7 linked regions of the Danio rerio genome follow. Each later gene encodes a partner of the first gene's protein in a complex. Links are inferred from orthologs where the notes say so. Each region holds a gene or a part of one and is shown in the gene's direction. Other genes may lie near its edges. The genes, in order: prpf4, snrpf, sart1, lsm4, snrnp200, lsm6 and snrpd1.

What was found.
Region 2: prpf4 (region 1) and snrpf share a complex: the UniProt entries of both Homo sapiens proteins name them as parts of the U4/U6-U5 tri-snRNP complex. The link is inferred for Danio rerio from reciprocal best matches to the Homo sapiens genes PRPF4 and SNRPF.
Region 3: prpf4 (region 1) and sart1 share a complex: the UniProt entries of both Homo sapiens proteins name them as parts of the U4/U6-U5 tri-snRNP complex. The link is inferred for Danio rerio from reciprocal best matches to the Homo sapiens genes PRPF4 and SART1.
Region 4: prpf4 (region 1) and lsm4 share a complex: the UniProt entries of both Homo sapiens proteins name them as parts of the precatalytic spliceosome. The link is inferred for Danio rerio from reciprocal best matches to the Homo sapiens genes PRPF4 and LSM4.
Region 5: prpf4 (region 1) and snrnp200 share a complex: the UniProt entries of both Homo sapiens proteins name them as parts of the U4/U6-U5 tri-snRNP complex. The link is inferred for Danio rerio from reciprocal best matches to the Homo sapiens genes PRPF4 and SNRNP200.
Region 6: prpf4 (region 1) and lsm6 share a complex: the UniProt entries of both Homo sapiens proteins name them as parts of the precatalytic spliceosome. The link is inferred for Danio rerio from reciprocal best matches to the Homo sapiens genes PRPF4 and LSM6.
Region 7: prpf4 (region 1) and snrpd1 share a complex: the UniProt entries of both Homo sapiens proteins name them as parts of the U4/U6-U5 tri-snRNP complex. The link is inferred for Danio rerio from reciprocal best matches to the Homo sapiens genes PRPF4 and SNRPD1.

The regions. Positions count from the first base shown.
Region 1 is NC_133180.1:62,709,330-62,713,505, forward strand, and holds part of prpf4 (U4/U6 small nuclear ribonucleoprotein Prp4), read left to right. Parts: intron 1-113; coding exon 114-172; intron 173-289; coding exon 290-413; intron 414-486; coding exon 487-576; intron 577-1,876; coding exon 1,877-1,999; intron 2,000-2,172; exon of another isoform or gene 2,173-2,283; coding exon 2,284-2,391; exon of another isoform or gene 2,392-2,475; coding exon 2,476-2,594; exon of another isoform or gene 2,595-4,176. UniProt on the Homo sapiens protein: Plays a role in pre-mRNA splicing as component of the U4/U6-U5 tri-snRNP complex that is involved in spliceosome assembly, and as component of the precatalytic spliceosome (spliceosome B complex).
Region 2 is NC_133182.1:19,363,663-19,368,325, forward strand, and holds the start of snrpf (small nuclear ribonucleoprotein F), read left to right. Parts: upstream 1-1,667; 5' UTR 1,668-1,854; coding exon 1,855-1,857; intron 1,858-2,718; coding exon 2,719-2,844; intron 2,845-4,615; coding exon 4,616-4,663. UniProt on the Homo sapiens protein: Plays a role in pre-mRNA splicing as a core component of the spliceosomal U1, U2, U4 and U5 small nuclear ribonucleoproteins (snRNPs), the building blocks of the spliceosome.
Region 3 is NC_133196.1:30,364,747-30,368,248, forward strand, and holds the end of sart1 (U4/U6.U5 tri-snRNP-associated protein 1), read left to right. Parts: intron 1-2,094; coding exon 2,095-2,216; intron 2,217-2,300; coding exon 2,301-2,319; 3' UTR 2,320-2,538; downstream 2,539-3,502. UniProt on the Homo sapiens protein: Plays a role in mRNA splicing as a component of the U4/U6-U5 tri-snRNP, one of the building blocks of the spliceosome. May also bind to DNA.
Region 4 is NC_133186.1:6,965,562-6,970,527, reverse strand, and holds the start of lsm4 (U6 snRNA-associated Sm-like protein LSm4), read left to right. Parts: upstream 1-1,803; 5' UTR 1,804-1,918; coding exon 1,919-1,921; intron 1,922-3,689; coding exon 3,690-3,731; intron 3,732-4,632; coding exon 4,633-4,731; intron 4,732-4,892; coding exon 4,893-4,966. Other genes in the region: probable ATP-dependent RNA helicase DDX49, read left to right, coding at 301-372, 487-630. UniProt on the Homo sapiens protein: Plays a role in pre-mRNA splicing as component of the U4/U6-U5 tri-snRNP complex that is involved in spliceosome assembly, and as component of the precatalytic spliceosome (spliceosome B complex).
Region 5 is NC_133183.1:33,117,153-33,121,872, reverse strand, and holds the start of snrnp200 (U5 small nuclear ribonucleoprotein 200 kDa helicase), read left to right. Parts: upstream 1-1,244; coding exon 1,245-1,289; intron 1,290-4,505; coding exon 4,506-4,669; intron 4,670-4,720. UniProt on the Homo sapiens protein: Catalyzes the ATP-dependent unwinding of U4/U6 RNA duplices, an essential step in the assembly of a catalytically active spliceosome. Plays a role in pre-mRNA splicing as a core component of precatalytic, catalytic and postcatalytic spliceosomal complexes.
Region 6 is NC_133176.1:39,344,145-39,348,946, forward strand, and holds the start of lsm6 (U6 snRNA-associated Sm-like protein LSm6), read left to right. Parts: upstream 1-1,810; 5' UTR 1,811-1,904; exon of another isoform or gene 1,905-2,127; coding exon of another isoform or gene 2,128-2,152; intron 2,153-2,252; coding exon of another isoform or gene 2,253-2,257; coding exon 2,258-2,351; intron 2,352-4,802. UniProt on the Homo sapiens protein: Plays a role in pre-mRNA splicing as component of the U4/U6-U5 tri-snRNP complex that is involved in spliceosome assembly, and as component of the precatalytic spliceosome (spliceosome B complex).
Region 7 is NC_133194.1:2,232,412-2,237,288, forward strand, and holds the start of snrpd1 (small nuclear ribonucleoprotein Sm D1), read left to right. Parts: upstream 1-1,846; 5' UTR 1,847-1,990; coding exon 1,991-2,004; intron 2,005-2,594; coding exon 2,595-2,671; intron 2,672-4,877. Other genes in the region: lipid scramblase CLPTM1L, read right to left, coding at 1-151. UniProt on the Homo sapiens protein: Plays a role in pre-mRNA splicing as a core component of the spliceosomal U1, U2, U4 and U5 small nuclear ribonucleoproteins (snRNPs), the building blocks of the spliceosome.

The DNA.
Region 1 (4,176 bases):
GGTTCAGTATTAAAATACGAATAGAAATGTGAATGCTAAAACATGGCTAAATGTATCATTTTGCACCAAACAAACAGAGCTGAACTTGTATTTATAAGACATTTCTGTTGTAGGTCGGGCTTGTGTAAATTGTGGAAGGTCCCCGATTGTACTCTTATACGCACATTAAGAGGTAAATACAGCAAATATATTCTGTAATGTTTATTCATCAAGTTGTCTGTTTGTGTTCTAGTTTTTGAGGAGCAGCTTGTAGCGTTGTATTAATCGTTGGTGAACCCTTCCTCTTCAGGTCACAATACCAATGTGGGAGCGATTAGCTTTCACCCACAAGCCACACTAACACTTGAGGAGTCAGATGTCAATATGGCCTCTTGTGCTGCAGATGGATCTGTTAAGCTGTGGAGTTTAGACAGGTGTGTATCTTTTAGGATTATGTAAATCTGTTATCTGAAGGAAAACTGTAACATTCACCTGTTTTTTTAATAGTGATGAACCTATAGCAGACATTGAGGGACACTCTATGAGGGTGGCTCGGGTGACCTGGCATCCCTCTGGCCGGTTTCTGGGCACAACTTGGTATGAATCTATTTATATTTTGTCAATTTGTTTTAAAGAGCTCCTATTTTGCATTAAAAAATGTAATTTTCTGGTTTTGGGGGTCTCCAGCAACTCGCTGATCTGCATGTAAGGTCAAAAAACACTTTCATTGTCTTATAATATGCATTTTTTTTTTTACCTAATTATCCCAGCGACTCCCATATGAATCATTCAACGATTCATTAGTTCCCAAACCCCTCCGTAGCGCAAAGCTAATCTGCAGTGATTGGTCCGATGACCTAATTTGTTGTGATTGATCAACTGCTTTTAGCACGAGACAGAGAGAAAAGCCCACCATGGCTATGAAATAGCAGCCAGAGAGTATGTTGGAGCCCAATGCAGGAATTCAATAAATCAATGCAGTTAAAGGCCAGCATATTGCTCTACTCTTAACCCAAACCCCAAGTAGTAACAAAGACACACAGTATTAATCCACAGTATTCAGTATTAATCCACATTGTTGTAAAAGTTAAACTATTTTAAAAAATTGACCATGCTGCGTGTGTGAGGAACAGCTGATGGTGGCCATAGCAAAGCATAGCAGAGGATCGCCAGTTCAGAAACTCACTTAAAATTGGTAAAGGTAGAAGCACGTGTCACGTTTTTACCACGTTTTTTTTACGTGATATGTAAACAGCCCCATACAGATTTAACCTGAGAGATACAGTACAAGCACGGGTGATTACAACTTATAACACACAATTAAACGCATATTTTGCAAACTACACAAAACGGGGCAACAATTTTTATGCCACTTACATGTTAGGATCCAAAGGAAGAAGAAACTGGTCCATTTGAGCTGAAAAAGTCCCATAGTCTCTGCTGCTCCTTCAATAGCAAACGGTAGATGCAGCGTAGGTTATTGTATCAAAAATTCATCTTCACATCATGGTCAGTCCTGCGATCCCCCGCGCCTCCACTAGTGTGTGGAGGGAGAGAGCATGCATATTTTAACGGAAGTGGAAGTACATATTTGGTGATGTACTGTATTGATGTCGATGCGATCTAACAAAATATCCAAACCCAACTTGATTCGTTTATTTGACTGAGTCAAATATTTCGCTAAAGAATCAATAGTTTTAAACATGCTGCACTTTTAGATTTTAACCTCAGCCTCACTTAGAGCTGTGTAACACGCTGCATGGAAGGTCATTTTCAAAAACTCATATTAGGGGCTCTTTAATATGTGAACCAGAACAATAATATGAATATTAGATGTTTTGATCAAACGTTTGTGTTGTAAAATAGTTTTATTAGCTTTTTTCCCCCTCTCTCTAAGCTATGATCACTCATGGCGACTTTGGGATCTTGAGGTCCAAGAAGAAATTCTTCATCAGGAGGGTCACAGTAAAGGCGTCCATGATCTGCACTTCCACCCAGATGGCTCTTTGGCAGGAACTGGGTAAGGGCCTCACACTAAACCCTGATGCGCTCCACTGTTTTTGTAATAGAATAGGCATAAACTCTTCAGCTACTTTCATAATCATGATTAGACACTCAATTAAAAACTTGACTTAACCCAGTCTGTCTACTTGCAGCAATGGTCTTGTATAAGAAAAGCCTAAACCACATATATTTTCACTTCATGAAGTTGTTTATTTAAACAGCTTTTTTTGATGAATTAAACTTTTCACAAAGGATCGAATGTTTGATTATTGCTTTAATGCTCTATTGCTTAATGTACAGTGGTTTGGATTCATTTGCACGTGTCTGGGACCTGCGCACTGGTCGCTGTGTCATGTTCCTAGAGGGCCACATCAAAGAGATTTACAGCATCAACTTTTCCCCAAACGGGTGAGTTAATGTAACCCCGTATGATTATTTACCAAAGCCGTTCACTGTTATAATGATCATAACCCTGCAATCATCATTATGCAGCTTTCATGTGGCAACGGGAAGTGGAGATAATGCCTGTAAAGTGTGGGACCTTCGCCAGAGACGGTGCATATACACAATCCCAGCCCATCAGAACCTTGTGTCCTCTGTCAAGTTCCAACGTGAGTATTCAAATCAGGATGTTTGTTTTGTGCATCAGTGATTTAGAGGGATGGTTCACCCAATAGTCCTCACACTCAATTGGTTTTAAACTTCAGTTGAACACAACAAGATATTCTGACGAAACGGCAGTCATTGAAATCCATATTCGGAACAAAACTAGAAGGAAGTCAATGACTGCTGCGTTTCAACATCCTTCAAACTGTATTTTGTGTTCAACAGAAGAAAGAAACTCAGGCTTGGAAATATAAATAATGTCAGAATTTTTTATTCTTGGGTGATTTTAAGATTTTAAGGCTGGTTTGAGCCCGAAGTTACCAAGCTCGCTGACAGATCAGGCTGTGATTGGGGAAAAATCTGGGGGAGCGAGGCAGGCTTTATGCGTAAACTACTGAACAACGCATCAAAAAGGCTCGCTGTTGCGTTGCTGAAACCTCGCAGATGAAAATCCAATATCTAGCATGCTGAATATTCCAGAGCAGTCGGCCCACTCGACCCCATATGTGGTCAGATGTAGTGATGAGCTGCAGCCAACGAGAGAGCACATCAGGCATCAGCATGCGCTGAATGGCCATTGTGCTCGGGAGCTAATAGAAACGTCTGTGATTGGCCAGAGTGGGCATAGATGCACTCGTTTCATTCGGTGTTAACACTGATATGAGAGTAGGCTATATTAACAAAGGAACTAGAAATCTACATATATTAGAATTACCATACTGCTCATCTGACCGTTCTCAAATAAGACATTATTTTCCATTCAAAGCTTCTATTGAAATATTAAAATTAAGCTTTAAATGTCTGTCATATTTCATGACACCACTACCCTAAAAATATGATCTTTTTGGTAATACAGCCTATAAATATGTAGTTAAAACAGTAAAACACCCAAAAAGGTTTGGGCCTCGCTTTTATTTTCAAACAGGAGCTATTTTACACAGAATATGCTGTTTTGAAAGTTATATCTGAAGTAAATTTCTGTTTTTGCTATCAGAAAGTTGTGTTTATATTAGCAGGAAGTTGCAAGGCACACATGTTTAAAGTCACAGCGAAAAGTAGCAAACATGCATGCAGTCATTTTGACCGATATGGTGATTAAAGGTAGAAATGCTCAGTTCTTTTCTGTTTTGTAATTAAATAAAATAACTAGAAAGAAATACACAGATATTTTGGAAACGTCAGGGTGTTATAGATGTCCGTTGTATTTCAAAAAGTAATCTAATTACAAAAAATTTTAAACTCTGACTGTTTTTGTAGGTCTAGTGTTAAATCGATTGATTCACTGATGCATCAGCTGATTGAAGATGTTTTTAAATGCTCCATTCAAAGCTTGAAACTCTGTCAGTGATGTCATCAGCACACAAGCAGCCAATAGTGTTCAGCTTTTTCTGACGGCTCCTCCCTCAAAAATGTATTGACTGGTTTGGTAGTTGGACTGAGCTAATGGGGAACGAGTTGCTGTCAGATCATCTAGTGTGTGACTCCTGTCTTGTGGATCATTACGTAGTGTCGTGTAGTGTGAACATCACAACGATTTAAAGACCCAAAATCAAGTCGTGTAGTGTAAACAGCACAGCTATCTGCCGA
Region 2 (4,663 bases), on another chromosome or scaffold:
AATGAGGAGCAAATTCAGTTAGTAATAAATTATAAATATCTGAGTGTGTTAGACAATAAACTTAAGGGATGTATTGACTGACTGTAAAAGAAAAAGCTTCAACAGAGAAATTACTTCCTTAAGAAACAATTATCTTTTAATGTTGACAACACATTGTTTATCATGTTTTATAGTACTTTTATTCAAGTACTGCAACACTTTGTGTGATCTGTTTGTATGGACATGCTTCTGAGGCCCAGAAAAGGTCACTGCTGGGGAAGGTGGCAACTACAGCCAATAAGTTGTTGGGAATAAAACTAAAGAGCATTGATAGATAGTACATACAAAGAAAGAGTACTAAATAAGGCTATCATGATTGTCAAAGATGAGTGACATCCTTTTCCATACACCTTCCAAGTGTTATTATCAGGTCATCACTATTGTGTTGCCAGATAAGTGAGAAATAGGACAAAATCTTAATTTATACCGTAAGCAGTTAAGTTTTTAAATTCCTCCTCCCTCAGTAGCAGTTGATGGCCAGTAGTCTAGATATTTATTTAGAGTAGGGGTACCATGTTTTTCATGATTTATTTATATAAATGGCAAATTTGAAATGTTAGTTGTCTCTGTGAGTGTATACTGCAAATGAAATTACCCTACAGGGACAAATAAATTAACCAACTAGCTAGCTAACTAACTAACCTAACTATATACACCCTCTCTGGGGAAGAAAATATTGTCCATCACTATCCACCACTGTACATGACATTTCAAACATGACCTCTTTTGAATAGATGGTAATGAAATGCAAAAACCTACTGGGCAAGTCTTCGGTTAAATGATTGATGTGGGATATTTGCATTTTTTTTTATTTATATAATTGAGGGTCAATAGTTTTGCAAAGCTAAATTACTGTACAAATCAAAGAGAAATTAGATGTGTTGTGCTTTCAAATACAAATCTAAAAGACTGTAAATGATTGCAAGTTTCCGTTCTCGTTGAATGAAATGATAAAATGATCCACTGCTGCTGTTTTGGGAGTTGTTAAAAATGGTACAAAATAAATATATAAAATAATTTATACATATTAATTTTTTTAAAGGGATAGTGATGAAATGAAATTATGTTCTCATTTACTTACCCTTCACTTGTTTATTTCTTCTGCTGAACACCAAAGAAGATGTTTGGAAACTGGTAACCATTTCTATAATATGATGAAAAACAAATACAATAGAAGCCAATAGTTACCGGTGTCCAACATTTTCGAAACAACAATACCAGTTTTAACATACTTCCAAATATCTTATTTTTGTTTTCAAATGAAAAAAAAGAATCTCATTAAGGTTAGAAACCCCTCAAGGGTGACTATATAGACAATTTTGAGGAATCTAAACAAAAGACAATGGTCCTTACGTATTTCCTGTTTTACATTTTAAATTTCTATAGCTTCCGAGAATCTAAAAAGAGCCACATATTGATAAATAATGTTATAAGAACTGTTTTAACATTAAGTTATGGTTGAATTGCCTCTTGATACAGCTGTGAAACAGTTTTATAACAAGCAGGAAATGTTTATGGGCCAACGACATCATCAAACGGAAATAGTTTATAGTAAGTACATTTTTATTTTTGGATAAACTATTTCTTTAATTTCAGACCTCCACTCCAGCTCAACTGAGGATTCACGGCTCTATTCCCCGCCTGTCCAGCGAGTGGCGCAGCGGGCAGATCCGCTCTTCTCTCCTGCCGTGCGGTCAAAGTGCGCTCGTAGTCCTTCCCTCTTTCGGCGGCAAGGCGTGCGAGTGTGCTGCATTAGCTTATACTATTCAAATAAACAATTTTTGTGTCTGAAAATACTACTTAAGTAATCCAGTCATGGTAAGTTCATCGTTATCTCTTTTATTTGTATCCAAACCTTCAGTTTGGCGAAAGAGCGTAGACGTTTTCATTCATAAATACGCTGATAATGCGGCTAGGTGTTAGCATCAGGAACGCAGACTGGACGTTGTTTTCAGTCATTTTCAGTGTTGTGTTAGAAATGTTGAGCTTTGCTGATAAATGTTCCTCCTTGTTCTCTTACAACCTAGTCGGTGACTCCCAAAATGCGATTAAATGATATATGTGTGGGAAAACTAAAGATAAAAACTAACGTTAAAGGAGTTTTTTCTGCTATTACTGATGCTTATTTGCAGCTAATTCTGGTGGAAACCAAAAACAATTAATGCTGTAAATTATTATATTGTTTTATTGAAGTTATACAATATATATATATATATATATATATATATATATATATTGTGTGTATGCATGCGTGTTTTGATTTTTTATACCACAAACTACAGTAATGAGAATTTGTCATTACAATTTAAAATGAAGTCATATCAATTGTATCTGTTTTTGTTTTGTTTTTATTATTTGTTTATTTTGCTTGTGTAAATTCATGCGGCTAGTGTCAAAACTTTTTACTAAAAGTTATAACAAGCTGATGAAGAAAAAAAACTAAAACCCAAAATGTAAATCTTTTTTTTTTTCTATTTGGTCAAATATGACTGAGCATCACCGGAGGCTATGCTAAAGTTTCTTCTAAGCTTTTCACTCACTTGAGAATAAAATCATCAACATTTGTAGTATTTTACTTCTTCAGGAACAATATTATGTTGACATGGAATTGTTTGAAAATGACACTTAGGGATTGATTTCGAATGATGTTAATTGTGTAACACTGATCTTTTCCCTCAGAGTTTGCCGCTGAACCCAAAGCCCTTTCTGAATGGTCTGACAGGAAAGCCTGTGATGGTGAAGCTGAAGTGGGGCATGGAGTACAAGGGCTACCTGGTGTCAGTGGATGGGTACATGAACATGCAGGTATGTTTAAAAGAGTTAACGATTCTATGAAAATCCAGCTCCTTAGTAGGAAGAAAATTTAAACTATTCTTTTTAACTCGAGACATACCGTTGTATATGCCATTATGGAGATGCTAGACACACACAGACATCTGCTTAAAGCAGAAGGTGGCCAAAAATGTAAATATTGTAATGGCAACCTAGCTGTCAAGCATATACACTTCATATGAAAACCTCAATATTTAGCAATTCTGAGTGTGCCTTACACAAGTGAGTGGGCTTTATAAACACTCCTTGACACACTTGCACTAGTTTTGTCTATTTGTACCAGACCCTCTCTTTCAACCACTTCATAGCTCTATAAAACATTGTGCATTTCTGAGATTGGTTCACACAGGTGAGTGGGCTTGACAAACCACCTGTAGAAATGCTAATCTCTCTAAATGCAAGTTTTTCTAGATCTCTTACAAGGACTTAATAAAAAAAAAAAAACAATGTTTACCTGTGACTGTACCACAAATTGTTTAACTGGTCATTTCCTTCAACCTTAAATGATCTCTTTTGCACAATATTGTTCTGTCTTATATAAAAGTACTTGTATAGTCTGTCTAAGGTTATGCGTAAAGTTTTTTTTTTTTTTTACTATTTATAGACCGTTTCAATGTGGTGATGCCATTGGCCCATGAATATTTCCTGCTTGTTGTCAATTCATATCTGTAACAAGAGGCGATTCATTCATAACTTATATAACAGCTATTATAACAGCTATTGTAACTATCAATATGTGGGACTTTTTGGACTCTCAGAAGCTACTGAAAATACAGTAGGACCATTGTTATTGTTTACATCCCTCAAAAAGGTCTTTAGTACATGTATAGTTAATTACTGCTCTGCTATGTAGTTATGTATAGGTTTAAAATCGCTCTTATGTCTATAAGGGTTGTTTATATTTATGATAGTTTATTTATGTTGCACTGTGGTCCTGCAAGACATTTCACTGTGTGTCCACAGATGTAGCGGAATGACAATAAAACTCAACTCGAGTTGATACTTTTGCAATGCCCTGTTTAAAATGTTTTAGATAACCATTTTTATCTGGAGAGTTCTTAAAGCAGGGATGTCAAACTTTGTTCCTGGAGGGCCGCAGTCTTGCATAGTTTAGTTGCAACCCTGCTTCCCCACACTACAGTTTGAGCATGTGAAATTCTGCCGTTTGGTGCTGCAAAAAGGGGCGGGATTAAACAAGCTGATTACGATTTGACCATATTTAAAATTTCTGTACAGAGAGGTCGTGTTTTGATCTTCTATTGGTCAGAGTTCACCAAGCTTTAAGTTTCCAACACATCGAACTGCGAAACTTGTGGCACGAGCTTGCGTTTCCTGTCTAAGGCATTTACTTGCTAATAAATGGAAGTCTATAGGGGTGCAGTGTGCCTGCCGCTTTACCTGTAGGTTTCAAACGACTGTAGGACTCAATTAGTTTGATCAGGTGTGGTTAATTAGGGTTGGAATTAAACTGTCCAGAGCTTTTGGTCCTCCAGGAATTGAGTTTGACACCTGTGCCTTAAAGCAACTATTTAAAAAAAAAAAAAAAAAAAGTGAATCTTTCGAAGATGGTAGAATTAAACTATTTTAAGTTTTTATCTAATTTTATTTGTTAATGTTGTTTGTCTTTTTATTGTTACATATATTGTAATGATATTTTGTATATTTCATATACTTTTGTTATAAGACTCGCAAAACTGATATGGCAATAAACCCTAAACTGCCTCTCTCTTTGCGATATTTGTAGTTGGCCAACACAGAAGAGTATGTGGATGGAGCGTTAGCTGGTCATCTT
Region 3 (3,502 bases), on another chromosome or scaffold:
ATTCTTTTTATTTAGTTCTTGCTTTTTTCCTGTGCTGTTGGAAACACTGCATCTGCATGAAGATGTGCTGTGATGTTCTGTATGCTGCTGTTTGCATTTTAAAATAAATCTGTATTGTAAAACACAATATTTATGGTGTCACACAAAATAGACACGTCAATTTGTTTTTTAAATTAAGTAATAATTTAATATTTATCTGACCAGTTAAAGGTTAATATTTGGTTCATGAATGGGTTGGCAAAATTAACTGAAATGAGCATCCCTAACTGGATTGTTTGCACTTTGCAGGATTAAGTGTAAGATCATTTTACTTTGCTCAACCAGACGATTATACCAATTAAAAACGTCATTAGCTAGGAAAGGAGTGGTTTGTTTTAAAAATATATATTGTTTAAAATTTTATAATAATTGCTAAATACAATGTATTATATAAAATTGTTGTATTATAAATATGAATATAAATTAATTGACACTTTGACGCTACATATGGGCTTTGTTAAACTGTAAATGCTGCTGCTTCAGTGAAAACATGGAATTGGTGGTGATTTCTTTTATGATAACCCAATAGCATTTATTCATTCAATACAAAAATTATGCTTTTTTAAAATACTTTTAATAGTTTTTATTAGGAACAAATAACAAGTGGAAACAAAACAAATAATAATATTGATTAAAAACAAAAACAATATATAAATATACACATACATGTCTGTCTGTCTGTTTGTCTGTCTGTCTATCCATCCATCAATAACTCATTTCTAATAGCTGATTTATTTTATCTTAGCCATGATGACAGTAAATAATATTTGACCAGATATTTTTCAAGACACATCTATACAGCTTAAAGTGATATTTCAAGGCTTAACTTGGTTAATTAATGTTAACTAGGCAGGTTAGGGTAATTAGGCATGTTATTGTATAACGATGGTTTGTTCTGTAAACTATTAAAAAAATCTAGCTTAAAGGGGCTAATAATATTGACCTTAAAAGGGTATTTAAAAAATTAATAACTGCTTTTATTCCAGCCGAAACAAAACAAATAATTCTCCTGAAGAACAAATATTATTAGACATACTGTGAAAATTTCCTTGTTCTGTTAAACATCATTTGGGAAATGTTAATAAAAGAAAAAAAATCAAAGGGGGGCTAATAATTCTTACTTCAACTGTATATTTATTTACACAGACACACACACACACACACACACACACACACACACACACACACACACACACACACACAAATGCATAAATTCCACACATATGTACATACAAACATAAATATTACATTATCCTCTTCAAGAAATAAATAAAAAAAAAGTTTGCTAAACTTATTCTCAATGGTTCATAACCTCTAAAATTATGTCAATGTTAAAGTATGGAAAATTATATTGTCATTGTGGTGAAAGTCAGCCATTAACTCCATTTTTTTTCCAAAGATCTCTCTTTGTAATCAAAATGCATGTGTCATTATTTCAATTTCAAAGATGATGCATTTAATAGTTAATCAGAATGTGTAAAAACTCATTTAATATCAATTTAAGAGGGGAAAATATCCCAAATATGCGGATTTAAGTAATTACCAGCTGATATACAACACTGGATAAATTCTGCTTAATTATATTTAATAATCATACTTCCTATTTGGACAGATCATTTTTATTCCTAGAAAGTCTGAATGAGAAGCACATGGAGATTTCTGAATAAATAAAGAGATTCTTCACCCAAAAATACAAATGTACTCTCAATTCGCTCTCTTTTAAGATCTTCCAAAAAAAAAGAGGATATTTTATTTCTTATGTTCAACACAAAAGAAGATGCTTTGAAGAAAGATGAAAACCTGTAAACACTGACATCCATAGTAGAAAAAAAATACTATGGAAGTTTATGGTTAGCGATAAAAATTTTTTCAAAATACATTCATTTGTGTTCAACAGAAAAAAGAAACTCAAACAGGTTTGAAACAAGGGTTAGTAAATTGATTGATTTTTCTTTTTTTTCAGTATAGGGTGAACTGTCCCTTTAAGGCTGAGCTCTGTATACTATCATTGTTGTCAAACTATAAAGCTAATGTCCATTTTGCTTGTCCGTGCAGCTGCTGAAGAAGATGAGCAGCAGTGATACTCCTCTGGGAACCGTGGCACTTCTGCAGGAAAAGCAGAAATCACAGAAAACTCCTTACATTGTGCTGAGTGGCAGCGGGAAAAGCATGAACGCGTACGTATTTTATTTACACTTTCCTTTTCATTCTGTCTGTATTCTGTTCAGTAATTGGTTTTATCTTCTTCTTTTTGTTTACAGAAATACCATTACAAAATAAATCTTTATTCTGGAACAGAAGGACAGAAAATCTCACAAAATGCGCTCATTTTAGCTGTCTCCTAAACACAGTTGCAACTGGTGATGTATATACAGACATTGTCTTGTATGTGAATTTAAGTCCCTTATTTGATTTAACTTTTTTGTTTTGATTGACAGTTCTCTGTAGAACCTTATCTGTCTTGTTTTTTTCCCCTCAATAAAAACTGTTGCGATTTAAGACTGGGCTAATGTCATCTGAATATATATATATATATATATATATATATATATATATATATATATATATATATATATATATATATATATATATATATATATATATTTTTTTTTTTTTTATTTACACTGATTATATCTGGTGTGGCACAGTGGCTCATTGGTTAGCACTGTCGCCTCACAGCAAAAAGGTTGCTGATTCGAGTTGGCGTTGGTTTAATCCAGGTGCTCCGGTTTCCCCTCACAGTCCAAAGACATGTATTAAAGGTGAAATGAATAAACTAAATTGGCTTTAGTGTATGAGTGTGAATGTGAGTGTATGGGTGTTTTCCAGTACTGGGTTGCAACTGGAAGGGCATCCTCTGTGTAAATCATATGCTGGAATATTTGGTGGTTCATTCTGCTGTGGTGGATGAGGGACTAAGCCGTAGGAAAATGAATGATTATATCTTACAATGTTTTTCACTCAAGTTTAGATCAGTTCTGTTTCTTGTCCAATTTAAATCTAAAATCTTCTGGTTTGAAGGTTATTGGCAAACCATAAAGATTTAAGATGACAATTAGTATTACGGCTACTTGTAATTTGTCAATTTTTTTTTACATGATTTTAATCAACATAATATATTATGTTGTTCATAATTATAAGGAAAAATCGGTGGCAATAGCCTAGAGGTTAAGCGCGCCAACATATAGCACCATAGGGCTCAGGGTGACCCAAGTTCAATTCCCGACTCGAGGTCCTATGCCCAACCTTCCTCTCTGTGCTCCCAGTGCTTTTCTGTCTCTCCTCCACTATCCTATCCCAATGAAAGATGAAAAACCCCTAAAATTCTAATTATAAAGAAAGAAATGAATCCACTTGATGAGCAAAATGTTTTTTTTTTGGAACATTTGCTAAACTATTGCTAAACATTTTAGCATACCTGTCAACCCTCCCGTTTTTCACAGTATTTTCCCATATTTTACAA
Region 4 (4,966 bases), on another chromosome or scaffold:
AAACGAGTGGCAAGAAGAATGGGATGCATTGGAAAATTATAAATTATATGAAATTCAACCTGAAATCTCACACAGAAGACATTTTAAGACTAGATTTGATCAAGTTGTTTTTACTAGATGTTGTATTGGACAGAAGAATAACCCATGTTTTTTGTTCCAAGGTGAAAACCCTAAGAAGTCAAGTTATTATTTGTTGTTCCTAAAACTTAAATAGGCGACAAGACTTTTGTCAGGTAGAATATATACACTTATATATCTAAAGCATGCTATAAAGTTTTACAATTGTTAATTCTTTTATAGAAATTAGAGTCGACAGATTTTGATGAGAAAAAGAAGATAAACAAAAGGAAGCAGATGATTCTGGATGGAAAAGTGAGTTATTTTTAAAAAAAACTTGTATATTTGTATGTTTCTTATAAAGTATTTTTGTGTACATGCATAATTTTACAATTTTTTTTCCTTGATTTAATTTTAAATCTATTGCAGGATCCTGATTTGGAAGAAAAAAGGAAAAATGAATTAGAGAAGATCCGAGGAAAAAATAAGAAACTCAAAGGAAAAAACCCCCAGAGCAAAAAGGAAAAGAAAAAACATGAGAAAAGTGCAAAAGCGACAGAAGTTGGCTCTTAATTTCCTCTCTTTTGTACAATTTAATATTATGTATATAGCGTGAATATGCTTATATTTAATAAACATGTGATGCAGTGTTGACTGTGTTGCTACATGAATGAATGAATCTGTGTTGATTTTTTTATTTTATTTTATTTATTGCTTTTTTCTGTGATTTCCTACATCTTTTGGGTTTAAAATTTTTTTTCACAATTTAGAGTTTTTACACTTTTTTTTTATTTTATAGCATGTCCACTGTAGTGGACCACAGGACCATTTTAGATAGAGGTAAAGCTGTTTTTCTATTCACATATTCCTTTATTTAGAAGTCTCTATATTGTTTACCATGTTACTTTGAATATTCGATCGGAATTAGCATGCAAGTCTGACTTCTAAACAACATTAACACTATCTAAATCACTGTAAACAATGCTGTACTTTAATAATCATTGGCTACTAATACGATTTCCCAATTTAAAATTTGCTAAGAAAACTTTTCTAAAATTATATTACTAAGGGGAAAGTCTGAATGCGAATATAAAACCAACTTTACCTCTATCCATTTTGGTTCAAAACAACCGCCAAACTCGGACAACAAAACTCTACAGGATATGGCTGTAAAGGGATATTAATCCAATATCAATGTAACAAAAAGAAAACAAAAGCCATTTTTTCCTTTTGTGTTGAAATTCCTGAAACAGTTTAGTCTAAAAGAGAGCCAAACTCAAAAGAAAAAAAGAGGTGATGTTAATTCAAAACAAATTTAACATAAAAGGTATTTATTTAATTGTCTGATTGTCAGACTTTAAATCCGAGTCTCCCTCAACTATCTTATAAAGAATCCTTTCTGCTTCCATTCTGCCCCTACAACATGCAGTCATTAATTACATTAATATGGTCCTGGTGTCCTTGAAACTTTCTGCATGAAGGACTCATAAATGGCAGATTAACCTGCTGCTGGATGATGTGTGGATGATTTACACGGGGCATAACTAAGCAACACAGCGATCTGTTAAGGAGGAAGTAGTAAGTCTCAAAGCTTGCATACTCTTTTGTTGCACACTCAAAAGTATAAACTTTTCCTTTACAAAAAAGTACATACTTTTTAGGGCGTAGTATAAATATGTGATTTGGGACGCAGCGTTTTGGGACTTTTGCTTTGACAACTTCCGCTTTCACCTGGAAGTACAACAGTAAGTGGTTTGCAGATCGCCTTGTGCTGCGAAGAAGATTCACAGAAAATCATTTGTGATTGAAGTCTTCAGTGGATTAAAACTTCATATAAAGACTGATTGGTCATTCAGCTGACATGGTGAGATGAAGTCGATAAACTTACTGGCTAACGTTAGTGAAATTAAGATTTTCCGCTGTGTTTATTGGATGATCTGTAGGTCGGTTAACACCGATTACGCGCAGAAACAAAGCGTTGTGTAAACGTTTTATTTGGGTGTATACACGAATCTTTACAAGCACGTTACGTACTTATTTAGTAAAATAGATAAAATTAGTTAAAAATCAATGTAGACGGCTATTATACATTTATTACTCTATTAAATTATCTCTACAGACATGCGAGGAACTTCAGAAGTCAGAAAGGTTTTGGCGTAGTTTTATCAAGAATATCCAAAGTCGGTTTTATATTCGCACATTCGTTCAGTGACAACTTGTGACATGCTCCCTACCTTGTTTACCATGGTACTTTAAACATTTGGTCTAAAATCACATGCAAGTATACTTGTGTATATGACTTGAAAACATCATTAGTGACCAGCCCGTCAACAACCATGCCACCTTCATAGTCACTTAAATCCCCTTTCTTCCAGCTTTCTGATGCTCGATTTAAACTAACGTTACAGCAGATCATCTTGACCATGTGTACATTCCTGAAGGCATTTCGATTCCGCCATGTGATTGGCTGATTAGAAATTTACGTTAATGAGCAGTTCGACTGGTGTACCTAATAAAGTGGACAGTGAGTGAATGTTTAAAATATATAAGCAATGGTACCTAAATAATCAAGTAAATCATCTTGCATATAGAGGTAAGTTTAGTTTTATATTCGCATATTCAGACTTTCCCCTTAATAATATAATTATAGAAAAGTATTCTTTGCAAATTCTAAATTGGAAAATCAAATTAGCAGCCAAATGATTATCAAAGTACAGCATTGTTTACAGTCAATTAGATGGTGTTAATGTTGTTTAGAAGTCATGTTTGCACGCTAATTCCGATCAAATATTCATGTTAAACATTATAGGGACTTCTAAATGAACGAAAATGCGAAAATAAAACTAACTTTACCTCTATATCTTACGTCAATAGTTTTTTTTGCATTATTATATATGCAGCAGAGAATGCAATTCGCTCCTGTTATGGCTTATATGAATAACAGGACTGAGTTTTTAACATTTAATGATCAAATACATGCTAAATGCTGTACGCTGTAATCTCTCGGCTGTGTATTTTAAACATGGCAGGTTTTTTGTTTTCATTCTGGCTTATTGCGTAGACGAATGACGTATTTCTGTAAACCTAGAACATTCAGTTGCACATCTAGCTCCGCCTTTTGGTACCCTTTCTCGTGTTTGGTATCCTTTCGAAATGGTGCCTAAGAAGTGGTACAGTTCGGTTCGCCTTTTGACAGTGCAAATGGCCATAAAAGCGTACCAAACCGAACCGTACCACTCAGTGAAAACAGGCCATAAGCGATTTGTTTTTCAAATATTTGCTGAATCGTGGGCTAACCGGTGTCTTGAGATGTAGAGGGTCCTTTTCTGCTGGAGATAGTGTTGCTAAATGAAAACTAAATGAAATCAAACAATCAAACAAAACTTGCATATAACATAGAAAAAATATCTGAAAAATAATAGCAATTTTAAAATTTTAAGTTTTCCAAACCGCTGTTAACCTTGAACCCAGTTATTGTCCTATATGCTCAGTCCAGGGTCACATATTCTGGTTAGTGAGTGTAATCTCCAATTGAATAACAATTAACAATATTCCATTGTGAGCACAGAAGAAACTCTTCATTTACTCTGTTGTTAGCATGACCACTCGAATTCTTTCTTTTTCTTTTCTAGCTCCCGTTATCTTTACTGAAGACGGCACAGAACCACCCGATGGTGAGTATCAAGCAGCTCACTTCATGCGTGCATCTTTATTGTCAGCACGAAGTTAAAGGTGCCATGATCAGGGATCATACTGTCCTGAAAAGTCATGGAATTTTGACAAGGCATTTTCCAGGCCTGAAAATGATTTGGAAAAACAAATAAACCCAAAATGTTATAACGATGGTTTGTTCTGTAGACTATTAGAAAGATATATAGCTTAAAGGGGCTAATAATATTGTCCCTAAAATGTTTTTTTATTTATTTAAAACTGCTTTTATTTAAGTAAAACAAATAGGACTATATATATATATATATATATATATATATTTATTTATATATATATATATATATATATATATTTATTTATTTATATATATATATATATATATATATATAGTACTTCAATTAAGAGCAGAGAGGGATTTTCTCGTTGTTTTATTAATTATGATAAAACAGGCGGCAGCTATTGTGCTCTGTCACTTTAATGGTTTCGCTTTCACGCGTCATTTGATTCTCAACTCATTTGTTTATTACACAAATGAGGGTTAATATGAATAATCACTAAATACTGCGTTTTGACACCTGTTTGAACATTAAAGCGCTCACGTTAATGACTTTAGATGTGTGTGCTCTCTGCTCGTCGCAATGTGCGAATAAGACCAACTGCTGACCGCATGCTTCTGACTGTGTCTGTGCGGCGCACACACACAAGCATGTGGTCTTTCGCGCTTTTAAGAGCAACAAGTGAGGACAATTGGACGGGGGCGGTAAATAATGGAATAATCGTTTATCTCGATTAATGTTTTTTTATAATCGTTAGAAGCCGAAATCGAATTTTCGATTAATTGCACAGCCCTAAAATGAAGTGCTGAACAATAATTGAGCTTTTAAGTTAATCTGCTTTTCTTTTCAGCTGGTTGAGTTAAAGAATGGCGAGACATACAACGGCCATCTGGTCAGCTGCGACAACTGGATGAATATAAACTTGAGAGAAGTTATTTGCACTTCACGGGTAAATACGACTTCATTCAGATGAAAACGTCTTTGGGAGACTATTGATTCCTTACAAAATTAAGCAAAACACTTGTTTGTTTTATTTAAACAAATCTGCAGGTTATTTATTTGTCTTGCTGAAATGTGACGGCTGTTTTTTCTGCTTGCTCTGATTTGCAGGATGGAGATAAGTTTTGGAGGATGCCAGAATGCTACATAAGAGGAAGCACCATTAAATACTTGCGAATCCCTGA
Region 5 (4,720 bases), on another chromosome or scaffold:
ATATTTTATTGCCATATTTTGTGTGTATATATTTCTATGAATATATAAACATGTATTTTACAGCCATATTGGTGTATATATCTATATATTTTAAATTATGAACATGTATTTTACTGGAAAATGTGTCACATATTTTTGTAAATATATAAACATATATTTAATTGTATATATTGTTATAAATATTTTATACACACACAAAGTTGAAGTCAGAATTATTATCTCCCCTAAATTATTCGACCCCGTTTATTTTTTCCCCCCAATTTCTGTTAAACTGAGAGGAGATATCTTCAACACATTTTATGAACATAACAGTTTAATAACTATTCTCTAATAACTGATTTATTTTATCTTTGCCATGATTATTTGGCTAATAATTTTGTCCCTAAAATGGTTGTTAAAAATTTAAAAACTGCTTTTATTCTAGCAGAAATAAAACAAATAAGACTTTCTCTAAAAGAAAAAAAATATTATCAGACATACTGTGAAAATGTTTTTGCTCTGTTAAACATCATTTGTAAAATATTTTAAAAAGAAAAAAAAAAAAAAAGAGGGCTAATAATTCTGACCTTAACTGTATATAACTAGATATAAACATGTATTTTACAGGGCTTGACATTAACACCTCCCAATTGCAGGTACACTTCAGCTGAGGCAGTTCAGACAGGCAGCCACTGGTGAGTTGAATATAATTTTAAAATTGTAGCTTAATTAAAAGTCCTATGTATATAAAGTACTTTAGTCAAATTTAAGCATCATAAATATATTTTCCCAACGACAAACTTGTGGCTAAATGCCAAGTGGCTAGAAACCTTGGAAAAAGAATAGTGTCTGTAGAGCAAAACCTTAATTAAAATGTGTAGCCTTGGCGTCACTTTTGAAATTCCCTTTTTCAGAAGTCAGATATCTTTAATAACATTACTTTCCAGAAGAGGCAGCATTTTCGTCCACTACACTTCAGTTTGGCTGAACCCGGAAGCGGAAATCACACCAAACTACGTTTTGAAACCGTCGTGCGTGTTTCGAGCGTATGGTGTGGATATCCACATAAAGAAAAGAGAGTTCTTTTCTACTTTAATAATATTGTAGTGTACGCGCTGTCCGTGCACATTAACCTAGTTTTGAATAACTAGCTCCATATATGAGTGCTGTGTGGTTTGTTTAGCAGTCTCTCTCTCCGCTAGCACCGGGTGTGCTGGTTAATACAGAAGACTTTCATTTCAGCGCACTTACAGTAATACGAAGCCATGGCGGATGTTACTGCGCGTAGTTTGCAGTATGAATACAAAGCGGTAAGTTTTATTACATGTCTAGTAGTTTGTTATGACATGTTATATGCTTTGTGGCTAAATTAGATCTTTTAGCGCGCTGAAGCGGTTTGTTTTGGTGTGCGTGAGCTCAGGGATAGTTCAACGCAAATTATAATTCTGTCTGACTCTCTTCTATTGAGCACAAAGTAAGATACTTTGAAGAATGCTGAAAACCGGTAACATTGACTAACGTTGTATTTATTTTTGCTACTATGACGTCAATATTGAGGTTAAGCTGGTTTTTGGTAGATGCGTTCAGTGACCTGTTGTGACATGCTCCCTGTATTGTTTACCATGGTACTTTGAATATTCGATCTGAAATCACAATTAAGTATGACTTCAATACAATATTAGCACTTATTATTTGACTGTGAGCATTGTTGTACTTTGATAGGCATTGGCTGCTAATTTGATTTCACTATTTCGATTTTTAAATTTTTTTCTGAAATTATATTTAGGAGAAAGTCTGAATGTGTGAAAATAATACCAATTTTACCTCAATGGCGTCAGTGGTTATCGGTTTACAACATTTTCAAATATTGTCTTTTGAGTTCAACAACAAAAGAAACACTTAAAAGTTTTTAATAACTTGAGAGTGAGTACATTTCCATTCTTGAGTGAATTGTCGCTTTAAACACGATTTAGAGTTATCTCTCTAGACAGCATTGTGATTAATTTAGTAGATTTGTTGCTTTGAATGATATTAGGGCTGGGCTATTTGGCTTAAATTCAAAATCTCGATTAATTGAACCTTTTTATTTTATTACGATTAATGAACAATTAATTGTTTAATTTTTTTATCCCATACTACAAGTGAGAGATTATTAAAGGGTGCATTACATAATTTTAAAATAACTGAAGGAAACACACACTATCTACTCTCTATTACTATTTATTGAACATCTATGCTGAACAACTGATATTTAAGCACACGTTGCCTTAAACCAGGGGTCGGCAACCCAAAATGTTGAAAGAGCCATACTGGACCAAAAAAAACAAAAACAAATATGTCTGGAGCCGCAAAAAAATTAAAAGCCTTATATAAGCCTTATAATGAAGGCAACACATGCTGCATGTGTTTTTATTAGCTGTATTAGCCTACTATAAAAATGATTTAGTTGGCTACAAATACATACTGAGCCTTCATGATTAAATGTTTTTTTTTTCCTGCAGTGCATCCTGTAGAGAATGACGCACCACGTGACTACTCTTTTGTACGATGCCGTCTCAAGTTTAACTTAATTACAATATTAATGCATTATGTTTAATGTTCGAGTTTAACTTCATTACAATATTAATGAATTATGTTTAATGTTAAAGTTTAACTTCATTACAATATCAATGAATTATGTTTAATGTTCAAGTTTAACTTCATTACAATATTAATGCATTATGTTTTGCTTTGATGAAATTAAAGAAATGCAGTAAAGAAATCAGATTTTTGATGTTTTTTATTTTGAGGATTCCAAAAAACAACATCAAAGTGAACGTGCATAACGTGCCCCTTACTGGGAATGTGCTCAACAAGGAAGGGTCAATCTCCAGGGGTGTGTGACAAGGAAAGACAGTCTCGTTTTTTCCTTTCGCCACTCGCAAAATCTGCTCCCAAAAGCAGTTTGCATATCAACGATCGCACCTTGTAAATAATCACCGTTGAGTGAGTGATAGGGATGGGCTTCTTTGAATTCTCTCAGGGAGGGAAAATGAGAGAGCGTGCCCCGCTGTACATCTTTGGCAAAGACAGCTTACGCTCCATGGCGCATCACACAGCCGCCGGATAGTTTACAACAGCCACCTGCCTATTCCATGTGTCGCAGGCTATGACGCAAATCTTCGTTGACAGAAATGTTGAAAATAAATATTTTACACACTTTTACAGCATTGGAAAACGTTAAGATTGTTTGTCCTCCTATAGAAACCATATTAAAACAAAAATATATTTACCTCCCCCATCTTTTTCTGTTTTCAAACATTTTTTGAAAAAGCTCCAGGGAGCCACTGGGGCAGCGCTAAAGAGCCGCATGCGGCTCTAGAGCCGCGGGTTGCCGACCCCTGCCTTAAACCAACAGTCACTTTTTTTCTATAAATATTTGGAAGCAAAATTAATTATTTTCAATGTTTTCAAAAGTATATAATAAACAGTATCTCTTCTAAATAAAATAACTCTTGTATATCCTGTAAATAGTTTAAACAGTGCATTTCTTGATTTTATTTATTTTTTTGTAAACAAATTATAGTGGAAAATAATTTTATTGTAATAGAAAATATGCTGTCTCAAGGCATATCTGGCGTGGCTTTCTTAATGCAAACTTGCAGCGTGTAGTTACATTGTTTGAGAGGTGCATGGGTATTCTTCCTCTCAAAGGCTGCGCCGGACCATACCCGTGTGTTCGACGCAGAAGTATAAATCAGCCTTAACAGAGCAGGGTCATGTGACTCCACATCCTGTAGGAAAAGATTTTTGAAAAAATTGACCTGGGAAAATTAGATCAATCATAGGTTCTAAATGTTAATTTCGATTAATTTTCAAATGATTGTCCAGCCCTAAATGATATTGTGTTTTAGCATAACGATAAGGATTAGACATGCTGATATTCATACAATATGGTATATACAATATATTGTCATAAATAACATCTATAATGCATGTTGGCATTATAATGTAATGTGTAACAGCGTAATGTTATAACATGTCAGATGTTCATTGAAAATAGTTATATTCTTTATGTACTTGTATGTTAGCACCTTACAGTGAAGCTTCATTTGTTAACATTAGTTAATTAAACTTAATTGATGAATGAAAACTACATGTAAACCGTTTATTTGTCTTGGCAAATGTCAACTTCCTTGTTAATGTTTAATAACTTGTTAATAACTAACATTAACTGCATTACTTTTTTAATGTAGCTATTTCTCACTTTCAATATTAGTTAATGTATTAGTAATGTTTATTGTTGCAAAGTGTTATTTATTGTACTTCATAATCCTTGTGCAATTTAATCTGCAATTTACTTTTTTGTTATTATACCTGTTGAATTAATCTTTTTGAAAACATCACATATTCTTATAAAAGCTTCAACAATCATGGCAACAAGATAGATTTATAGCATCACGCACTTATTATGCATATAGCCAGTTTGAGCTTGAGACTCAAACTTACCATCAAACTGATTGTGAGTGTTTGTGTTTCTTCCACAGAACTCTAACTTGGTGTTGCAAGCAGACAGATCTCTGATCGACCGAACACGCAGAGATGAGCCCACCGGAGAGGTGCTGTCTCTGGTCGGAAAACTGGAGGGGACCAAAATGGGAGACAGAAGCCAGAGAACCAAACCTCAGATGCTGGAGGAGAGGAGAGCAAAGTCAGTCTGATCACAAATGCATCAAGTTTGCTGGTAAAAATGTCTCAAATG
Region 6 (4,802 bases), on another chromosome or scaffold:
CTCATTTTTGATCAAGGCGACACTCCCCCCATCATTTCCACACTATTACCCCCATGCAGTGCAGGGATTAGGGAGCGGGAAGGGGAGGAGAAAAACTACATGCCGGCAGCCAATCTGGATTTCATTCGAAAACTCCCTTGAGGTTTTTCCATTATCCCCCCTCCATATCCAACTTGACCCGTAGAGAAAGCCCTGGCTCGCAAAGGTCAGCCTAGTCTAGACTCTCCTTTCCTCGAAGCAGCCTGCGGCAACCGACGGAGCCCCCTCCCCTCGCATCTGACACCCCTCAGCCTGACCCACCCCCAACCCTAGTGAAGCTGCCTCTGTAATCTTTTCATTTTTCCTCCACTCCCTCTCAGGTCTTTGGGGGCTTAGAAAGGTGAGGCGGGTTGTACCAGCAAATCAACTGTGCCACTGTCCATCTGAGCTCACCAGCGTCTTGAAGGCAGGGTGAAAACAGTCCCATCTGGCATCACTGGGCGGTTATTACCAACACGCTACTGTTTTCATAGGAGCTGTGGGGTTATTCACAGGCTTGCGGTGAGAGTGGATTGTCTGTGCTGACTGAGGAAAAGCAAATGCTTTTTTTATTTGTTCCCAGTCAAAATTTTATGCACATTCACATCAGTCTACAAAATGTTAAGTTGAAAACTTTTTGAAGGACAGCACATTAAGGTTAAAATGCCCTCTTTATGTGAGACGGACAGAATCATCTTCTACCAAGCAACAGGCAAAACTGAAAGATAAAAAGCTTGTGAAATGCTTTCTGTGTCTGTAGAGCTCTATTGTGTTTTATTCAGTATCGCTTAACAAGCCAAGCCATTCACGCTTTTCCAGTAGTCAAGAAAGCATCATAGTGCTTGTGTCAGCTTCCTTGTCATGATATTCCATATTTGTTTACAACTGAAAATCCCGGTGCTGTGTGCCACAACCGAAAAATCTGTAAACTCGTTCAATTTCTTTCCTTTTTTTCCTTAAATGAATGATTGCTTTGATAGGAAAATGCATTAGATCACATTTTTCTCTCTTAACCCTCCTTTAGGATGTGAACTCTGGCAACAAGGGGAAAAATACTCATTGAATATTCATTAACTCGTGCCTAGGTGTGTACACGGCTCTTAACCACACTTGTTTATGACTTAAGGACTTGTAGCGCTGACCTTAGTTTAACACAGCACCAGATACCAAATTAACCTCTAGCCTCCTCAGGGCTACCAATGCCCTGCTAACAAGCAAACTGTCTGGATGCGCCAGAAGTGCTTTATGATTCTGTCTCTCAGGTGCATCCCCTCCTCTGCCTGTGAACAAAAGACAGCTTTTTCTTCCCCATCTCCCTCTCTCTCTTTTGGCTATACAGGATCTTCTTTTTTCCTACATGTTTTAGCCACACCTCAACTACAACCTGAAGTTGCTTATTATACACAATGTACACAAAATACTTTGACAAACAGACAGACTATCTATCTATCTATCTATCTATCTATCTATCTATCTATCTATCTATCTATCTATCTGTCTGTCTGTCTGTCTGTCTGTCTGTCTGTCTGTCTGTCTGTCTGTCTGTCTGTCTGTCTGTCAGTCTAGGTTTCTATACGTCTGTTTGTTCGTCCATTTTTATCAGCTCATCTGTCATTCTTCTGTTTGTCTAACGATTTTATGTCCTAATGTAGCAAAAGCGACGATTCCCCGTCTTTACTGCCACCGTCGATCTGGCTCTTTTTTCCACTACGCATTCTTTGTCAAAGGAGATAACGCTATCTTGTCGGCTTCCGTACACTGGCTTTCTAACGAAGCATCTGGTTGGCTGAATGGTGTACACACCATGGAACTAGAATAAGCGGACGAGCTCATTGGTCAGCAGTCGCTCAGTCGAAACGTGCGGTTAACGTTGCTAAACGACATAGGTAAATAACGTTAAATGTTGTATGCTTTAATATAAGAATGCATTCGACGTTAGTGGGGTTTTAAAAAACTGCAGCACTGTAGTTACCTTGCTAGATATACGATGACACGTTTATTAAGTGATACGTTGGGTTGGAATGCTAGCATGCTAAATTAGCCGCTTATCGATAACGTTCACCGGCAATTTCCAAACAAATAAGGTTAAACCTCTTCTGGAAACCCCTTATGTGGTTTAAAATAAACGTCTTTAGTACGTTTTGTTGTTATTGTCACATCCTTTTTGTTAACAATGCAGCCATGGTTCATTTTTATAAGAGCTATTCATAAACTTCATTGTCATTCATTTTCAGCTAAAATGAGTCTCCGAAAGCAGACACCAAGTGATTTCCTGAAGCAGATCATTGGGAGGCCAGTGGTGGTGAAACTGAACTCTGGTGTCGATTACAGAGGTACAAACTGAAATATGCGGTTGTTTTTATGTTTGTATTTTACATTTATCATTTACAAGTTATCGAGGGTATGCATGAAGGGACTGATCATATTTGTTGTGTTGGAGGTAATAAAATAGGATGGTTTGGAAGTCAATCTTGAAGAAAACAACATAATTTCCTTATTGTAATTTATTACAAGTTCACTGCCACATGCAAGTTAAATATGGATAAAGTTGTGTCAGGTAAAGTAAGTTTTATATTCCAGGATTCAACGCTAAAGATTTTTTTTTTACTGGCCCGAAACTTTTCACTGGTCTGACCAAATATAACAAGTTACAGTTTTTCTCAGTGGCTTTGGTGCATTTCTCACAGCACTATTTACATTTGCACAACAGTTAATGCATTTCTCAAAATAATTAGTCATTTGTGCACATCCTATTAGCAGTTTCTCATTCCTTCCAACACATTGCAGATGCTTTTGGACATGCATCAATTACTTTCATACAACTCTCTGATATTTATAACATTATCATCTGCTTATGTCAACTAAACTTGTGAATTCTGAGTAGTCATTCCATATAAAACAAATAGTTTTCATTTCATTACTTGAGTCATTACATACAAAAATGTTGAACTAGTTGTCAAAATCTGTTAAGCAATATTTTATAAAAAAAATTAAATCTTTATTTTCCTGATAATGTCTAAAAAATTGAACAATTTCATGATTGATTTATAGACTTGTGTGTATTTTAGTTTCAGTTCCTATATGTTTTGCAATATTGTGTACAGTTGTGCACAACTCTACCCAAAGGGAGTTTGTTTGTTGTAAATAAGGGTGTATGTATTCTTTTGCACAATGGTGTGAATAAATTAGAATTGCAAAGAGTATATACAGTTAAAATGTGAAACATACATATTCAGTTTGTTGTACTCCGATTCCTCACTAAATGCAGTGATGTCTAACTTTACTGTAGTTTTCAAATGGCTGTGCAAATAGTATGCAGTGTTGTCTTGAGCATTTTCAGGAAGTGTCAACAAAATCTGACTTTTTTTGCATTGAAAAAATGTACAGAGTAAACTGTCATCATGAAAACAGGACAAAGCCATGTGACTATCTTGTTCATAAACAATGGTGTCAGGACTTTTCATTTTGATGATACTGGCACTTTGATTAACATCAATACTTGCTTTTGAGGAATGAACTATCCATTTTGAGCATGTGACGCATTTTTGCAGTTTATCATCTAGGTTTTGCAGTTTAAACTAATTGTTTTGAGAAATGCATTAACTGTTGTGCAGAAATGCACTAGTTTTGTGAGAAACGCACAAAAGCGACTGAGAAAAGCTGTAATAAAAAATATCCTAGCCACATATTTTAAATGTTCTGTCAAAAATAACATCTGCGAATGTAGCATTTAATGCTAATAAATCTAAAATAAGCAAAATTTATAGTGTAATGCAGACAAACAAACAAACAAAAAAATAATAGAAAATGTGCAGGTATTTTATTGCACTTTAAAATTATTTAACAAAATGTGGCTGACTTGCCAAACTTGCGGCAAACTGTGCAGAACATCACATTTTTTTCGTCATGTTGTACCCAAGACATTAGAAACAGACGTTTTCTTTTAGCTTAATAATTTGAAGTTGCCGCCTCTTTGCTGTACTGGTTTTTACCAAGTTTTAGAAAAAAATAACATGCTCACATCATCCAATCACATAAGAGGAAGCGAAAAGCAATATGGTGTTTACAACTTCACTGAGAAGGTAGTATTTAAAGGCTTGAAATAACAGTTTCTTAATTTTAAGACCTGATTAGGCCAGTAACGGTCCTGTTTAATGTCCCTAGCATCTCGCACACTAGCCCCGGGCCATTGGGCAGTCCTTATTGTTGAGCCCTGTATTCACATATTCTCACTTTTTTTCTTAATAATATAATTTTAGAAAAGTATTCTTTGAAAATTCTAAATAGTAAAATCATATCAGCAAATGACTATAAAAGTACAACATTGTTCACAGTCAAATAGATAGTACTATGTTGTTTTCATGTCAAACTTACTTATGATTTCAAATCAAATATTCAAAGTACCGTGGGAAACAATATAGGGAGCGTGTCGCAAGTTGTCGTTAAATAAATGTGCGAATATAAAACCAACTTTACCTCAGTTGCTGTATCCTGCTCTTGATCTAAGGCTTTTAGTCTGAAACCTTCCTTTAGTATTGCCACCATTTTCTTACACTTGGATATTTGTTATCAAACTTTTTGATTTCCATGCATTTTATTGTCTAAATCAATATTAAAGACCCTTTGATTTTTTTCCCCAGTGTTTTATTTCCACTTGTTAAAGCAAGAGTGGAGTTTGCATCAACTAAAAAGGAAATTAATATTGGTTGACGTTTAAAATATGAAATCAAATCTATGTAAAAATTAACAACAACTATTCTTAATTACTATACTTCTACTTTTAT
Region 7 (4,877 bases), on another chromosome or scaffold:
TAGCGGCCAGGTATGGAGAGATGCAGCTTTCGGCTCGGCGTTTCTCGCAGGGTTTGGTGTAAACGATGCCGTACATCACCCAGCATGTGTGCAGCACATACAGCAGGAACACCCCCACTATCAGGCTGGTGAACGAGGTCTTCGGAAACATCTTAACTGCACGCAGATCCCGCCGACAATAATAACATGCTCAATGACATGCTGGAGATGAAGAAAAGGACGAGGAAGAGGATGAGCTGTCACTCACTAACACACGTCACTCCAAATACACACCGCGACATCGCTCACAACATCGCTCTCCCGCGGTCTGAAGCGCTGCTTTATGCTAGTTTAATCATTTATTCGGTATAAACCCTCGGGGATTTCTCATGATGAAAAGCGAGGGTTTGATTTCTGTGTTTTAATCCCTCGATCCACTTTTGACGTGATATTTCAATGAGCGCTCACTTCCGGGATTCACTTCCTGCCGCGGGGTTGCCAGATTCGTTAAATTAAATCTTTTGCTACGTGAAAAAAGTGTCTGAATTTAAAGCTGTATTATACTTATATTATCTCGAAACCCAATTAAAGCTTAAATATGACTATTATTGCTGTTTCTGTTAATTAAAGTATGTTTTTATTAATTTATTTACCTTTACTTGAGATATCGCCACGGGGTTGCCAGATATTTTAAAATTGAATCCACAACTGTGCATGAATGTTATTTTTAATAGAGAAAATATAATTACAAAGACAGAAGAAACTTTATATTATATTATAGTATATTATTTATTCATTATCTAAAATAAATAGTATTTTAGAGATTCACTGTAGTATAAAAAATACGTAAAAATTGTTTAAATTTAAAGTTGTATTATACTTTTATTATCTTAAAACGCATCTAAAACTTTAAATTTGATTATTATTGCTGTTTTGGTTAATTAAAAGTATGTTTATATTAACCTATTTACCTTTACCGTGAGATATTGTCACTGTAGGGTTGCCAGATACGTTAAAAATAAATCTATTCCTGTGGTTGTTAAATGCAGCTTTTTTTTTAAACTGGGAAAATATAAATAGAGTAAAGACAGAATAAAGCTTTCATTATATTATAGTATCTTATTTATTCATTATCTACAATAAACAGTATTTTGGAGCTTCACTTTGATATGAAAATGACACTACATGAAAAATTGTCTAAATTTAAAGCTGTATTATACTTTTATTATCTTAAAACACAAGTAAAGCCTTAAATATGGGTATTATTGCTGTTTTGGTTTAATAAAAGTGTGTTTTTATTAACCTATTTACTGTATCGTCACTGTGGGGTTGCCAGATACGTTAAAACTAAATCTATTCCGGTGGATGTTGAATGCTATTTTTTTGAATTAAGAAAATATAATTACAAAGAAAAAAACAGAATAAAGTTAATATTTTATTATAGTATATTTTTATTCATAGTCTAAAATAAATCATATTTTGTAGCTGCGCTGTGATATGGAAAAGATTTAAACATTTATGAAAAAAAAGTGTCAAAATTTAAATCTGTATTATACTTTTATTATCTTAAAACGCAATTGAAGCCTTAAATATGATTAATATTGCTGTTTTGGTTTTTTAAAAGAATGCTTTAAGGAAACTATTTACTGTGAGATTAAATTATTGTTGTTTTGGTTAATTAAAAGTGTATTTTTATTAACCTATGTACCATGAGATATCGAAATTGAAAAATACTTTTAAGCTATTATCATAATAAAAATTGTTGTAGCAACATTTAAAATTTTAAATTCGCTTTTGTATGTTTATAACATGCTTATAAATGAAATTACCAGCGTGTAAAAATATTCCGGTGATTTTGTTGAGTAATGGCAACCCTTCTGTCCTCAGAATTCTGTTTCCCTTTCACCCAGGAAGTGATTGTACCATCTCTCCAGTAGCGTCCTACATTCGTTTTGCGCTACAATTTTTTCTCATCTAGGTGGAGGATTTTCTCTCAAAGTCCACCGCCATCATGAAACTCGTCAGGTAATAAACATCTACAGCTGTCATACAAGTAAAATACACAAAGAAACTTTGCGGATGCGCGATGTATTTTAATAGATGGAGCCGGATTGTGTGTAGCTGCTAGTTAGCCGTTAGCTTCATCAGGCGGGAATGAATGAATGGGCGAGCGTTTGTTTGAACGTTTTACTCATTTGTTTTAAGCACATACGTGTTTTAAACTATGTAATAAGCGGGTTTAGTCTTAGATTATTAATACATTGTGCGTTTTTTGGTGGTAGTTTGATCATGCGGGGTCTTAAATGCAACAAATACATAAACAGAAACAATAACTGTTAATGCTAAGTTAGCTACATTTATTTACTAGTTTCTAAATATGCTAGCTGTATATAATCATATAATTATGTTAATAGACACTATAGTGTGTAGTTAGGAAGTCTAAAGATTATTGGATATATAGTTTATCATTTGTTTTAAATATAGTTATCAGTTTATTATCATTAGTAAGCTGTAAATACTTTATATAATCATATTGACAAAATGCTTTATATGTAGATATTAGACGTTATGTTATTATAATTGTTTATCATTGTTTTTATGATTGTGACCTGCAGGTTTTTGATGAAATTGAGCCATGAAACCGTCACGATTGAGCTGAAGAATGGCACACAGGTCCATGGCACAATTACAGGTAATTATTATTTTAAGTAATGCACCATAATCACATTTATAAACTGTCTGCTATGTGCCTGTTTCATTAAATGAGGTCATATTATGCATTTTCTCTTTGAATCTGATGCATTACATCTCATAGGTGGCCAATAAATGTGCTTATATTGAGGTGAAGTTGGTTTTATATTAGCAGGTTTAGACTTTGGCGTTCTATGAAATAGCAAAGCAGTATTTAAAAAGGTGAATACAGATTCATTATTTTTTACCACGCTGCTTTGAATATTTGATCTGAAATCACATATAAGAATGACTTCAAAACAATATTAGACCGTAAACAATATTGTGCTTTATAGTCATTTGGTGATAATATGATTCCCCTATTTAGTATTTGCAAATAATACTTTTCTGAAATTATATTAAGTCTGAATGTGTGAATATAAAAACAACTTTACCTCAATTACATCTGTCAGCTCCCGGAAAAAATGCATTTAACCTTTTAGCTGAAAATGACTTGACTTAATTGGATTGTTATGCAATACTGTGCACCTTTTATAAAGCTGCTTTGAAACACTAGTCATTGTAAAAAGCGCTATACAAATAAACTTGAATTAAAAAGACTCATTGTATATGCCCTATATTGTGCTAATAATAATAATTAGAAAACTTGTTATACTTTGTTGATGAATTAATGCCACTGAGTCAGACTCGTATTATAATAATCATGTGAGCAGAAAAACAATAGATCATGGTATTGTGTGAAAATTTACATCTTTACTTGTGGAGATTTTCAATTTTTAGACCAGTGATTCCCAAAGTGGGAGTCGGGACCTCCTGGGAGGTCGTGAGTCCTTGAGGGGGGGTTGCTTGGTGATTTCCAATATATACATATAAATAAATTATTAAAATTACCATATTTTATCCATAACCTGCAGAAGATAGTGTTTAATAGTTACATTTAAAACAAAAACATGTACATAAACAGACAGCAGCGTTTACATTATTTTTCCATTGGATTACGACTCCTTGAGTGATTACGCTAGATTAATAACACAGCAATAGTGTTAGTTGCAGCAGATTTATTTTACGGCTCAATGTTAAACTTTGACACATTTACAGCACTCCTGTACATTAAAAATAAAGGCCACGACTGAACATAGAGGACGATCTCCAAGTGGCGGTCTCCGAAATTAAATCAAGAATAGACTTGTGCTGTATATATTTCACAATTCTCATTAAGTGAGGTTAATATTAAATTAAACAAATGAATAGTGACTATAAAATGATATGGTTGATAAACTGCTGCACTTTTGTTGTGTTGTCAATAAGCTTGTTTATATAGTTGCTATTGGTTTGTGTGTGTGCATTATTGTGTACAGTGTTTGTATGCTTATTACTAGGCCCACACTTATTTTGCGCGAGCTGAATTCCGCTGATGTTTAGCCCATCATTAATTCTGTTTATTTACTTGAGTAAATGTGTGTAAATCTATATTAATTCAGTTTTTACATTTATTTCAGTAATATTATTGACTAATATGAAAATGTTCGTCTGACTTATGTACAATGCAGTTTGTACCGTAATATTTTCTGTCTTTTAGTAGAGATATTATATGAGAGACTTGCTTTGTTTACCAAATAATGTGAATCTAATTGGATTAGCATTTTAAACATTAAATAAAAATTATATAAAGATATTTTTTTTTATGTCATATATTAAGGTTTTAGTTATGATACTCCCAAAATAATTCCGCAGATCTTTACCAAAACTCTCCGCAGAAATAGCAAAAAACGCCCGCAGATTCCATCTGGCCCTACTTATAACCACCTCAGAGGATAGTGGGGTTGTGAGTTACTAAAATTGTTATTTTGGGGGTCACGAGTTAAAAAGTTTGGGAACCCCTGATATAGATCATAGCAACTTTTCATTTCTTGCTAGTTGTAATACACAATGTAACTACAGAAGAATCAAGTGAGATGCTAATGGTCTAATCTGATTCAATGATTTATGCTAAGCTAAAAGTGCTCTCACCAGACCCAGAAATCAGCTAAACGGATTCATAAATGGGAAAACTCGCCTGTTTAACTCTCTAAGGAGTTGTAAAATGAGACTGTTTCTTTAAAAAAAGAAGTTGACTATTCCTTTTAAAATTGTTAAACACGCAATGGACCCTTTTCACAGGACTGTTATGATGCGTTTAATAGTCATCAGTAGAGCTGCACGATTCT